3 linked regions of the Cricetulus griseus genome follow. The protein of the gene in region 1 purifies or fractionates together with the protein of each later gene. This does not show direct contact. Links are inferred from orthologs where the notes say so. Each region holds a gene or a part of one and is shown on either strand. Other genes may lie near its edges.

The links. Proteins that work in one complex are often made in the same cells at the same time.
Region 2: the proteins of 14-3-3 protein epsilon (region 1) and Rab11fip1 purify together in Homo sapiens (affinity purification with mass spectrometry; 3 studies listed by BioGRID and IntAct, with this or other methods). This does not show direct contact. The link is inferred for Cricetulus griseus from reciprocal best matches to the Homo sapiens genes YWHAE and RAB11FIP1.
Region 3: the proteins of 14-3-3 protein epsilon (region 1) and Pank2 purify together in Homo sapiens (affinity purification with mass spectrometry; 3 studies listed by BioGRID and IntAct, with this or other methods). This does not show direct contact. The link is inferred for Cricetulus griseus from reciprocal best matches to the Homo sapiens genes YWHAE and PANK2.

The regions. Positions count from the first base shown.
Region 1 is NC_048600.1:89,183,699-89,188,478, reverse strand, and holds the start of 14-3-3 protein epsilon, read right to left. Parts: upstream 3,052-4,780; 5' UTR 2,938-3,051; coding exon 2,874-2,937; intron 1-2,873. UniProt on the Homo sapiens protein: Adapter protein implicated in the regulation of a large spectrum of both general and specialized signaling pathways. Binds to a large number of partners, usually by recognition of a phosphoserine or phosphothreonine motif.
Region 2 is NW_023276807.1:56,694,691-56,697,813, forward strand, and holds the end of Rab11fip1 (rab11 family-interacting protein 1), read left to right. Parts: intron 1-2,027; coding exon 2,028-2,246; 3' UTR 2,247-2,247; downstream 2,248-3,123. UniProt on the Homo sapiens protein: A Rab11 effector protein involved in the endosomal recycling process. Also involved in controlling membrane trafficking along the phagocytic pathway and in phagocytosis. Interaction with RAB14 may function in the process of neurite formation.
Region 3 is NC_048599.1:47,283,610-47,287,798, reverse strand, and holds part of Pank2 (pantothenate kinase 2, mitochondrial), read left to right. Parts: intron 1-2,313; coding exon 2,314-2,490; intron 2,491-4,189.

The sequences.
Region 1 (4,780 bases):
AAACATAGCTTCTCACCTCCTCTTCCAAAACCATTAAATAATCTATATAAATTGATTTCAATTCCCTATAGGGAGAGTAAAAGACACTTCAGGCACTAGATTCTACATAGTATGCAAAATACAAGATAAACCTAGGACAGTAACAAGAAGGAAGGTCAGCTAAAAGGCCAACATTTACATCCAAGTACCCAAAACTCAGAATCCCAATGCATTCGCATTGCAGTTGGTATTTTACTTAGTGATCCCTTCTATAGAGCCATTTCTATTACACAAACAAAGCTGAATCACTGCAGTCAGTCAAGTAGTGGTGGGTTTCCTGACTGCCTTCCTGCCTCTCCCGCTCTAGATCCCTCCTCATGCCAAATCACTGCAGTGCTTCCTATTGCATTCCCTTCTTTCTTTAAGAGTCTCAAAGGGACAGTCACCAAGTGGCTTGTCTACACTCCTATGTTCAATAACTAACAAGGCCAGACTTTAGTCAGAAACCCTCAGCACTCAAATCACAAGCATGATTTAAAGTTAACTTGCCATTTATTTGGAAGCTACAATCATGCAAGTTTCCAAATCCTTCCTAAAAATGACTCAGAAACAAAGCAAAAAGATTCCCTAATACCTTTCTATTGGGAGGAGGGGTCACATTCACACTAAGCCTAAATCCCCAGTCTTCAAATGTAATTTCATGTTTCCTCCCAAGGACACTAGATTCAGGGGACACTTCTTTCAGGGAGGCAGAGAGAGAACCCTCCATTACAACCAAACTCTCCTGGCTACAAACACTAAAATGAAGGCTGACCTTGAGCTACATTCATACTTTCCCCATCCCACCTCCTCCCACTCCCAACAGAAGCCAACAGCAACTCAAACCTGAAAGGCAAAATTCAGTTTAGTATCTTTCCTAAACTGGGGGTTTTGAAGCCTTCTGTTCTAAATTCCAAAGGCTGGAACAGTAATTTCTGACAAGACTCTAGGACTAGTTCTAGAAAAGCTGCAACAGAGCCAAACTGGAATTCAAGGAAAAGGGTCTGACCTAACTTTTGAAAAACAAGTGGCTTAAGTAATTTGGAAAAAATTAGGGGCAATAACACTTAATTCCAAACATGCATCCCATCCTAGCCCCCAACACTAAAATCACAAGGACCTATCTGCCTTAGTGCACATGCCTTTAATCAAAGCACTCAGGAGACTGATAGGTGGATCTCTGTGAGTTAGAGGCCAGCCTGGTCTACATACTAAGGTTTCAAGAAAGCCAGAGCGACAGAGTGAGACCCTATTCCTAAACAAACATAAATAAATCATGGTAAACATATATGTGATTTATCACTTTTAAAATACTACTTTGATAGATATTGCTTAACTGAAGTATCTAGGTACAAAATCAGAGAAAGGGAAGGCACAAAAAAAAACATAAATTGCCTACAACTGACTAAACACAAAAGATATTTCAATGAAATGGTGATAAGACTAAATTCAAATTAGCACGAGCTAAGGATAGAGCTTAGTGACAGAGAGCACTGTACAAGGGCTTGGGTTACATCACGGGGGTGAGGAAGTAGTGGGTGTCGAGTGAACAAAATAACTATTAAAATATGTACATAAAACCATTTGCTTAAAATAGATAAAACAGAGGTAGAGTGTATCTTAGTATATGAGCACTTGCTTTGCATGCATGCAACCCTGGGTTGGAACCCCAGCCACGCAACAATGAAGTCATAAAACAGGGGGAAAAAAAAAGAATTGTATTTCAAAATCCCCAAGCCTCAACCGAGTCCTCAAAATAGGTAAAGATCCCCAAGCCAAGCAACACGAATTTTCCAAACTTACGTCGTCAACCAAGGGAGTGTTACTAAACATTATTTAAATTAACTATTTTTCAACAGGTCTTTCCATGTGTCATAATGCTGAGTGCGAAGAGAAAAGTCATTTTTACAAACGGGTAGACTTGAGACACGGGTACTGTAAAAAGCCATCATTATTACAGGGTCCTGGCAAGCCTGGTCTCCTGTATTTAAGAATTCTATCCATCAGAACTCGGGCTTCTGAAGGTTGGGAAAAGAAAAAAGAAAAACCCACAGGAACTTTGGGATCCCCTGGGTGAGAACAAACGGAGCACGAGTGAGGCTCCACACATCCATGGGAGGAGGCGAGGCAGAGAAGCCCCCCAAAACCCTCAACTCCGAGGTGCGCCGGCCTGCGGGAAGGAATCCAATCGCAGCATCTCAGCTTGCCTCCACCCAAGGATGATCAATCTGCAGTGATTTCCACACACTCCACCCTCTCCAAAGACGACTCCCCACCAGCGGCCCAGAGAAGCCGTCCGCTCCTGAGGCTTCTCCTTTGTGAGGCTCCACAGCCGCCGCCCCACACTGGGCCTCCCGGGAAAAGCCACCGCCCCCACCCGCCATATTTCCCTGAAAAGGCGCCCGCGCTCCAGCTCCCTAAGATTCCGCCCTCCCCCGAGCGACCGCTGCTGCTTCGCACATCACCCCACCCGATTGTCCTCCGCATCCCGCCACGGTCCCGAAAGCTCCCGTGGGGATTGCGCGCCGGGAGACGGCACCCGCCACCTCCTCCCCCCTCCCCCGCCCGGGGACTCGCCCTCCCCCTTCAGCCGCCATTTTACAACCAACTCCTCCACCCTACTCCCCGGCCTGCTGGCGGGCGAGCGTCTGCAAGCTAAGGACACCGGAGGGGTCAAATTCCTGGGCCCGGAGACTCCCACCGCTTCGGGAGCCCGCAGGACATTTCCCGCTTCCCGACCCGCGTCCCGAGCCAGACTCGGGGACGATGCCGCCATTTTGTCTCCGGTTCCCGGCCTCTGTGGGCGGCGGCGGAGGGTCCGAGACTTCCAGCCCCCCGACACCCCTCCAACTCACCGTCGTATCGCTCGGCCTGCTCTGCCAGCTTCGCCTGGTACACCAGATCCTCCCGATCATCCATAGCGGCAGCGGCTCCGGCAGGGTCTGCGCGACGGATGGAAGCGGATAGCGTCTCCGACTCTCGGCTTCTCGCTCCGCGTCCGAGCAGTAAAAATGGCGGCGCTTCAATCCGGGACTTCCGCCTGCGCACGCGGACAACTGCTCAGCTCTATGGCAACCGCTCCCTGGCAACTGGCGCGGGGGGGCGGGTCCGGGAGTTCGGCGCCAGAAAAGGCTGGAACCAGCACGACTGACGCCCCTCCTCCGTCGGCTCAGCAGTAAGGCGGGAACTGCGACTGCGAAGAAGAACGGCCCAGGCGAGCGGGAGAGGCTGGAGGCCGAGACTGGGCTAAAGGAATGAGCCAGGATCCTGTTCGGTGGCCGCCGGCCGAGGACAGGCCTGCCTGCGGAAAGACCGAGCGAGCGAGAGGCTTGATGGGTTCTTGCAACTGCAGGCCTTCCTCACTGAGACCCACTCACTGTGCATTCCTGCACGTTTTTCTCATTCATGTGCCTTTTTCAGAGCCTTTTAACCTCTGTGTAAAGAACTGACAGGTGAACAAGGGAGGGCTCCAGTTTTTACGCGCCAACTTTTTTCTTGTTCACACACCGTAATCATGTTTTTCTTCCCTTCAGCCGTATTTTATCGCTTTGGCCCATCACAGATAGGACTTTTGTTTAAAGGCCCTGGTTTTAACGTGGTGTTGGTGCCACACTCCTTCAACCCCACCACTCCGGAGGCATTGGAAGGCAGATCTCTATGAGTTCTCGAAGCCAGCCTGGTCTGCACAGTTCCAGGACAGCCAAGGTTACACAGAGAAACCTTGCTTCTAAAAATCAAAAAAGAAACAAAAGTCTCTGGTTTTTTTTGTGTGTGTGGTGGTGCATACCTTTAATCTCAGCATTAAGGAGTCAGGAGGATCTCTGAGATTGGGACCAGCCTGCTCTACAAAGCGAATTTCAGGTCAGCCAGGGCTGCATTGTGAGACCTCCATCGGAAGGAAGGAAGGAAGGAAGGAAGGAAGGAAGGAAGGAAGGAAGGAAGGAAGGAAGGAAGGAAGGAAGGACAGACGGATGTGTGGTGTGTGTGTGTGTCTGTGTCTGTGTCTGTGTCTGGTTTTCCTGGGCATGCGTGGTTATATCCCACCCCTCCATACCAGCACTATAGTGGCTGAGGTTGAAGCAAGTTGGAATAAGATCAGCAACTTGAAGCCAATCCAGGCTATATAGGGAAATCCTGACTAAAGCGGAAAAGAAAGTGGCATGCCTAGTTTGGAGTTCAAGGTGCACCAGAGGTCGAGTAAGGACAAATTGACATTAATTAGCTAGAAACAAATAACCCTCAATCGGAATTGCTTCTCTTGCAATGGACATCATGTTCTGCTTCCCACTGGATTTTCAACGTCCTTTTTTTTAGATTTATTTATTTTACACACATGAGTGTTCTATCTGCATGTATGCCTGCATGACAGAAGAGGTCATCAGCCCCCCACTATACATAGTTTGAGTCACCATGTGATTGCTGGGAATTAAACTCAGGACCTCTGGAAGGGCAACCAGTACTCTTAACTGCTGAGCCCGATTTTCAACAGCTTGTACTCAATATCTGCTGCTGAGCCTCAGAGAAAAAGGGCTTCAAAATAAGTGTGAAATAAAAAAAGTTGGAAGCGGTCAGGCAGTGGTGGTGCTCGCCTTTAATCCCAACATTCTGGAGGAAGAAGCAGGAGGATCTCTGTGAATTCGAGGCCAGCCTGGTCTACAAAGCGAGTTCCAGGACAGCCAGAGCTGTTACATGGAGAAACTCTGTCTCAAAGAAAAAAAAAAGTTGGAATCATGATAGGCCTGAGATCACAAACCAAGAGGCA
Region 2 (3,123 bases), on another chromosome or scaffold:
TCAGGCTAACCTCTTTTCTAAGTGCTGGGATTACAGGTGTGTGCCATCTTGCCCAATTCGAATCTAGTTTTGGAAGCCACACACAGAGTGCAGGGGTAGAGCACTTATGTATCGTGACCAAAAAAGGTCAAACCCCCCCCCCCCATATAGATGTCCTCAACAAATTCAAAGGACGAAAGCAGGGGTGAGGAAGGGAGAAATAGCCTGGCATCTGCATTATTCATGTGCCCCCTAATTTGGATTCATGCTTACTGTGTATGTGAAAACAGTGCTTGTTTTTCTTGTTTCTAAGCCAGCCAATGAAAGGAGAATTCCTCTGGATTCTTCTCCTTGGGCACTTTGCTCTCTGGATGGGGCAGGGAGGGGCTTCTGTGCTATTGTTGGACTATTACTGTTAGTTCAGGCTCCTGGCTCTGCTTGGAGATGGTAGGTTCTTGACTTATTGGTCTTCCTGGTAGAAGATAAAAGTGACAAAACCTGTTACTGCCCTGGAGTTCTGGGGGCAGAAATCACCTTGAGTTGTTCTGGAGTCTTGTTTCCTTGAATTTGTATATCTGAGGTGCAGATTGCCAGGCCCTTCCTTTTACTCCCTCCTAAGGCCTTGATGTGACTTGTTACTTCTTACTGAGTCTTTTGTCTCTCGCTTCCTTTTGGCCCAGAACTCTCAGGCTTGCAGTTAGAGTCTCCTTGGCCCAGATGATATATGCTCATTAAAAGCAACTGTTCCGGATACGTGCTCCCTTCAGAAACAGAAACAGTCAGTCCTTGGGTCAGGCCACTATGTACCCAGAGTGTGTGTACTCAGGTGACCTGTGAGGTCCATGGCCTGGTGGCACTTGGCTTTAGCTATACATGTTTTGAGAGTGTGGAGTAAGTTTTGGTAGAGTCTCAAATTGGGGTGCCTCAAGGTAGCAGACTGACTTCATTAGCTGGTACCCTACAGTGTAGGCAGGAGGGTGCTCCCCACATCTTCTTTCCACTCTGACTTGGGGCTTGTTCCAGCTCTGCATGTTGTATAACTCCAGGAACTTGAGAGATCAAGTGGTTCATCTACCTCAGCCCCCCAAGTGGCTGGGCTCCAGTGTGTGCACACTATGCCTGAGGCTTGCTGATTATGTGACTACTACTGCCATCTGACGTTGCTTTCTTCCTCCTTTCCCTCCTCCCCACCAAGCTCTCATTATATTCCTTCTTTTTTCCTTTTTTTAAATGTTTGTGGTTGTTTTGCTTGCATGTATATCTGTGTGTGTGTGTGTGTGTGTGTGTGTGTGTGTGTGTGTGTGTGTGTGTGTGTGTGCATGTGCGTGCAGTGCCAGAGGAAGCTAAAAAGACAGTGCTAGGTTTTTGGGAACTGGAGTTTCAGATGGTTAGGAGCTACCATATGGATGCTAGGAATTGAACCCTGGGTTTTCTGAAAGAGCAGCCAGTGCTCTTAACCACTGAGCCATCTCTCCAGCCCCCTTATTAAATTTCTTGAAAACATGTGCCCAGGTCAAGACCAGAGGTCTAGGAATTAAAAACCAAGGATAGTTCCTGGTTTTTAAATGCTGGTGATCAAACCCAGGGCCTTTACACATGCTAGCAAGTGTTCGACTGCTGAGCTACACCCAGGCCCCTGGTTTTTACATTTTTCAAAGGATCATAAAGCAAAAAGAAAATAAAAAGTAAGTAAAAATGCATGTAAGCAACCTTTACGCAGTCTACAAAGTCTGTGGTACTTTTTTTAGTCAGCAACCTGTTTTCAGCCCATGTTGAAAGTGGATTTCCAAGCCAGCTGTGATTGCATGAACCTTTAATCCCAATACCTGGAAGGCAGAGACAGGCGGATCTCCATGAGTTCATGGCCAGCCTGTTCTGTGTACACAGTGAGTTTCAGGTCAGCCAGGGCTACATAGAGAGACTCTGAAGAATAACAAAATGAGTGTTAGAGAGACTCCAATGGCTGCTGAAATTTCTTTGCATTCCTTTCAGAAGTCTGCTTTCTCTGCTGACTTGTAACTGTTTCCCTCTTCCTCCCCTCCCCACAGAAATACCAGCCCTCGGATCCTGCCTTTGCCTATGCACAGCTGACCCATGATGAGCTGATCCAGTTGGTCCTCAAACAGAAGGAAACCATCAGCAAGAAGGAGTTTCAGGTGCGGGAGCTGGAAGACTACATAGACAACCTGCTAGTCAGAGTCATGGAGGAGACCCCCAATATCCTCCGAGTGCCGACTCAGCTTGGCAAAAAGGCTGGAAAGATGTGAACCGCAGGAAGGAAATGGAGATATTTTGTGAGCTTGTTTCCACCAACTCTCAAGGTCAAAGGCATGGTCTTCATAGTAACCAGCACACAGGCTCTCATCACTGGGTGTGTGCATTGTCTATCAAGAGTTTATTCTCCTAGTTGAAACCAGGTTAATTATTACAATGAATCTTTTCTATACATTCCTAGCATTTTAATTTTAAATGCCACTGTGCCTTTAACTAAGTTGTAAATGTAAGATTTGACTCTGAGCCATCAATTCAGGAGGCACCATCGGAACTAATGTATTTTAACACTGGGGTTTTCGCCCTTTGATACGGAGATCATCAAGTGTGTATCCTCCATGAAGCCAGGCTTAGGGTGAGATCAGAAAGGGACTATACTATGGATACTGTTTCACCTCCTTTCTTGGCCTTCAAGCAGCTCAGGTGTGGCAGATTCTAAATATTTTTGTCTTGTGAACTTCTCAGACTCAAGGATTGTTTTGGTAGGGTTTTTGTTTAGGGGGCATTGGTCTGTTTTCCAGATAGGCTGTTGTATAGCCTAGGCTGCTCTTGAACTCACTGTATAGCTGAGACTAGCCTTCTTCTGATTTTCCTGCCCCCACTTCCCAAGTGTTGGGATTACTGCTGTGTTGATGCCTCTTGCCTGGAGCACAACTGTTTACGAAAACCTCTGAGCATGCTTCTTAGACTTGGAACAAATTGTCTCTTTCAGGTCCTTCTGCCTTTTAGCTTTAAAAATATGATTTGTGGGTGGGGAGATACAGCTTAGAGGGTAAAGGGCTTGCACTGCAAACATGAGAATCTGTATTTGCATTCTCGGCACCCATGCAAAAGAGCCAACAGTAGTGGCAGGTGCCTGGGTGGGGGTGGTGA
Region 3 (4,189 bases), on another chromosome or scaffold:
AGACTGTTCTTACAGAATTCCAGGCAGTCAGGACTATATAACTAGTTCTCAGCCTTTTTAATGCTGTGTGACCCTTTAGTACAGTCCTCATGTTGTAGTGACCCGCAACCATAAAATTATTTTCTATGCTAATTTTGTTACTGTTAGGAATTGTGATGGTCTCGGATGATTCTTGTAAAAGGGTCATTTGACCCTTAAAGGGGTTGCAACCCACAGGTTGAAAAATGCTGATATAGAGACTCTGTTTCAGACAAACAAACAAACAAGCAAAAAAACCAAACAAAAAGTGTTTCAGAGGAGAACAATATTAGCAACTGAGTTAGAGATCATTCTTGTGATATTCTGGAATGAATATGGTTACTTTCTGCTCTTGTCCTAAAAAAATGCCTGAGGCAAAATTGAAAAAATGATGCATTAATTTTCTTGGCTGAGAAGATCTTCAGTGCAAAAGGATAAGTGAAACAAAAAGAAATACAAAATATACAGTTTGAAGTGGAAAAATAGCATTAGAAGATTTAATGTCAGAACCAAGGCCTATGCTGAAAGATAAGGTGAGGCCTGATGGTAAATAAAATAAAAGGGGTGGGTGCTCTCAGAGCAAGAAACTACCCAGCTAAGCTTTCAACTTGTAAGAAGGAAATGCCTGGAAAATTTTCTGCTCAGAACAAACAAAAACCAGCAATAAAGGAAAGCTGCTGCAAGTGTAATTCAGGAAGGGGCCAGGTCTCTTCCTAAGCAGGCAGCTTAACTTGGCAGTTACCGACATGGTTTTGGCTTTAGCGTCAAGACAGATACATGAGTAAAGTGGTGTGGAGTCTTCATGATTAAGGAAAACCACTTGAGGCCACGCATATGGCAGGGAAGTCCCTTCATGGAGGCCCTGAGAGGCCATGTATGAAGCTGTGAAGGTGAAGCCTGGATTGCCTTAGAGATCCCAAGATATTGGAGACACCAGAGCCTTGGAATACCTGCTAAGGAGAGTCACAGGCAGGCTGTGGAACCAGCCCAAAAGAGAGAAGTGTGTAATAGTTGGCAAAGCTGGAAGGGGAAAGCCATTTAAGTCCTTTGCCATCAGACAGAAATAGTGGATTTGGAGTTTGCCTTGCTATTTTTCAGTCTTGGTTTGGTCCAGTATTTCCTCACTTTGACCTTTCCTCCATCTGGGATGGCAATGTGTATTCCGTGCATTGTATGTCAGGACTATGTGACCTGATTTTTGCTTTTGCTTTTACATGGGGTTACTGTTACTGGATTGCCTTGAGTCTTGGAAGAGACATGGATAGACTTAAACAGTGTTGAGACTGAAATACTATGGGAACTTTTGGGGGTGGACTAAATACATTTTGCATTATGATATGGCTACAAGCCTATGGGGGCCAGGGTGGAATGTGGTGGTTTGGATGAGAATGCCTTCTCATAGGGTCATATATTCGAATGCTTGGTCCTCAGTTGATGGAAGTGTTTGGGAGGATTAAGAAGGGTGGCCTCATTGGAGGAGATTTGTCACATTGAGGTTTTAAAAACCCTAGCCATTCCCAGTTAGCTCTCTTTGCCTTATGGTTATGTCTCAAGGTGTGAGATCTCAGCTACTGCTCCAGTGCCATGCCTGCCTGCTACCATGCTTTCTGTCATAACTTTTCATGGACTGAAACTGTATTCCCCAATTCTTTATATAGGGCATCTTGGTCATGGTGTCTTATCACAGGAATAGAAAAGTAAGACAATGTGGATCTAGAAGTTGAGATACTGATAAGTAGAAAAGTGATTTGAAAAGGGAGGATTAGATGAAAGAAAATGAATGTTTTGGTTAAAGTTCAAGGGTTATTTGAGGAAAAAAAGGAACTGAGGGTTTGAATAACTCTTAACCTAATGAGTATAATAATCATTAGCCAACAAATGAGAGTATTGGAGACAGGGGTTTCAATAAAGGAGTCTGGTGGGTTAGTGACAGGTGCTTGAATGATGTCAGAGGTCACTCTGCACTTGAAGACAGAAAGTAGGTGCTGCCATGACTCTGGGTATGTTGGCCTTACTTATGTGTACCTGAGGCTTGTATACTCAGCAAGAGTGGACAGCGCTTGGGACACGTACAAGGAGATGGGATATATTTTTTTTTCTACTTTGTTGGCTCACATGGACATATACATTTTGTATTTATGAGGCACTTACATTTATCTTGCAAACTTATTGGTATCGTGCATGATCTAATTGGGGCAAGAGTAGACTGATACATGAATATTGTTTGGAGTTCATAAGTCTTAACATCCCATTCCTGTGTTTTAAAAATACTACATTGTTTACTTTTTATCATAGTCTTGGAGGAGGAACTTTCTTTGGTCTCTGCTGTCTTCTTACTGGCTGTAGCACTTTTGAAGAAGCTCTTGAAATGGCATCTCGTGGGGATAGCACCAAAGTGGACAAATTAGTTCGAGACATTTATGGAGGAGACTATGAACGGTTTGGATTGCCAGGCTGGGCTGTGGCTTCAAGGTAAGGGCGTATGTATGTGGTAAGAAACTATTAGGTATATGTTTTATTTTAAACAGTTTCATTGAAATGTAACTTATAAAGTTATCTGTTTAAAATATTTAATTTGGGGCTGAAGATGTAGTTCAGTTAGTAGAATATGTACTAGTATTTATGGAGCCCTGTACTAGTGTATATGATTCTCTAGCACTGTATAAACTGGGTATGGTACATGTCTATAATCTCAGCCCTGGCATGGAGGCAGGAGGATCAGGAGTTCCAGATCATTTTGTGCTTCATAGTGAATTGGAAGCTAGTCTGGTATACGTAAGCATTTGTCTTTTTTTTTTTTTTTTTTTTTTAAAGTGTGATTTGGTGGTTTGTTGTGTATTTGCAGAATTTTGCAGCTATTACTATAATTCAGTTTTAGAATATTTTTTATCATTTTAGAAAGAAATCTTGCAGCCCTTAGCTGTTACTTTTCCATTTCACCTCTCAACCTTCCCAGCGCCTCTTTTTTTTTTTTTTTTTTCTGCCTCTGGATTTGGTTACTCTGAACATTTCGTATATATGGTATCATGTAGTATGATCTGTCATAACCAGCTTCATGTCACTTACTGCAATGTTTACAGAATTATTTCTTTTTATTGCTGAGTGGTCTATTATGTGACTACCATATTTTATGTATTAACTAATAAACATTGTGTATTCCCACTTTTTTTTTGGCTGTCATGAATAGTGATGAAGACATGTGTACTTGTTTTTTGTATGGACATTTAATTTTCTTTCTTTTTTTCTTTTTGTTTGCTTGCTTGTTTGGTTCAGAGTTTCTCTATGTAGCCCCAGCTCCTCTGGGACTCACTCTATAAACTTGGCAAGCCTCAAACTTGAGAACTGGCTGCCTCTGCCTCCCAAGTTAAAAGCCTGTGCTACTCTAACCTGCTTTAATATTCTTGATCTCTACCTAGGAATGAAATTGGTATGCTGCCTGGTAACTTTATATTTAGTCTTTTGAGGAACTACTAGACTGCTTTCCAATGTGACCATACCATTTTACAGCCCCAGGATCTTTTTTTTTTTTTTTTTTTTTTTTTTTTGTTTTTTCGAGACAGGGTTTCTCTGTGGCTTTGGAGGCTATCCTGGAACTAGCTGGTCTCTATCCAGGCTGGTCTCAAACTCATAGAGATCTGCCTGCCTCCCGAGTGCTGGGATTAAAGGTGTGCACCACCAATGCCTGGCTCCAGCCCCAGGATCTTAAGAGAGATTAACTTATTCTATATCATTGTCTTTTTGTTTAGGAGTCCTCTCCACGTCTTTTGTTGGCAAATACTATCCATTGAGTGTTGACGCTTATAACCTCATTTGGGTTTTTTGAGACTGGGTTTCAGTGTATGGTCCTGGCTGGCCTCAGGTTTTTGTTCCTCTTTCTGCCTTTGCCCTCTGAGTGCTGGGATTATAGGTAAGTGCTATCAAACCCAGCCAGAAGTTTGTAATTTTGGTGAAACCTCTTATTTATATGTGTTTATCCTTTATGCTTTTAGTGCAAGGGATAAAGAATTTTATAGTTTGGGTATTGACATTTATGTTATGACCCATTCTATGTTAGCTTTTCTGTGTGGTACATGATAGAGCTCCATAGTCTCTTTTGCATGGTGTTTTTTTTACTTGTTCTAGCTGACCATTGGCTGAAGACTGCTCTTTCCCTATTCTTTGGAGGCCTTTG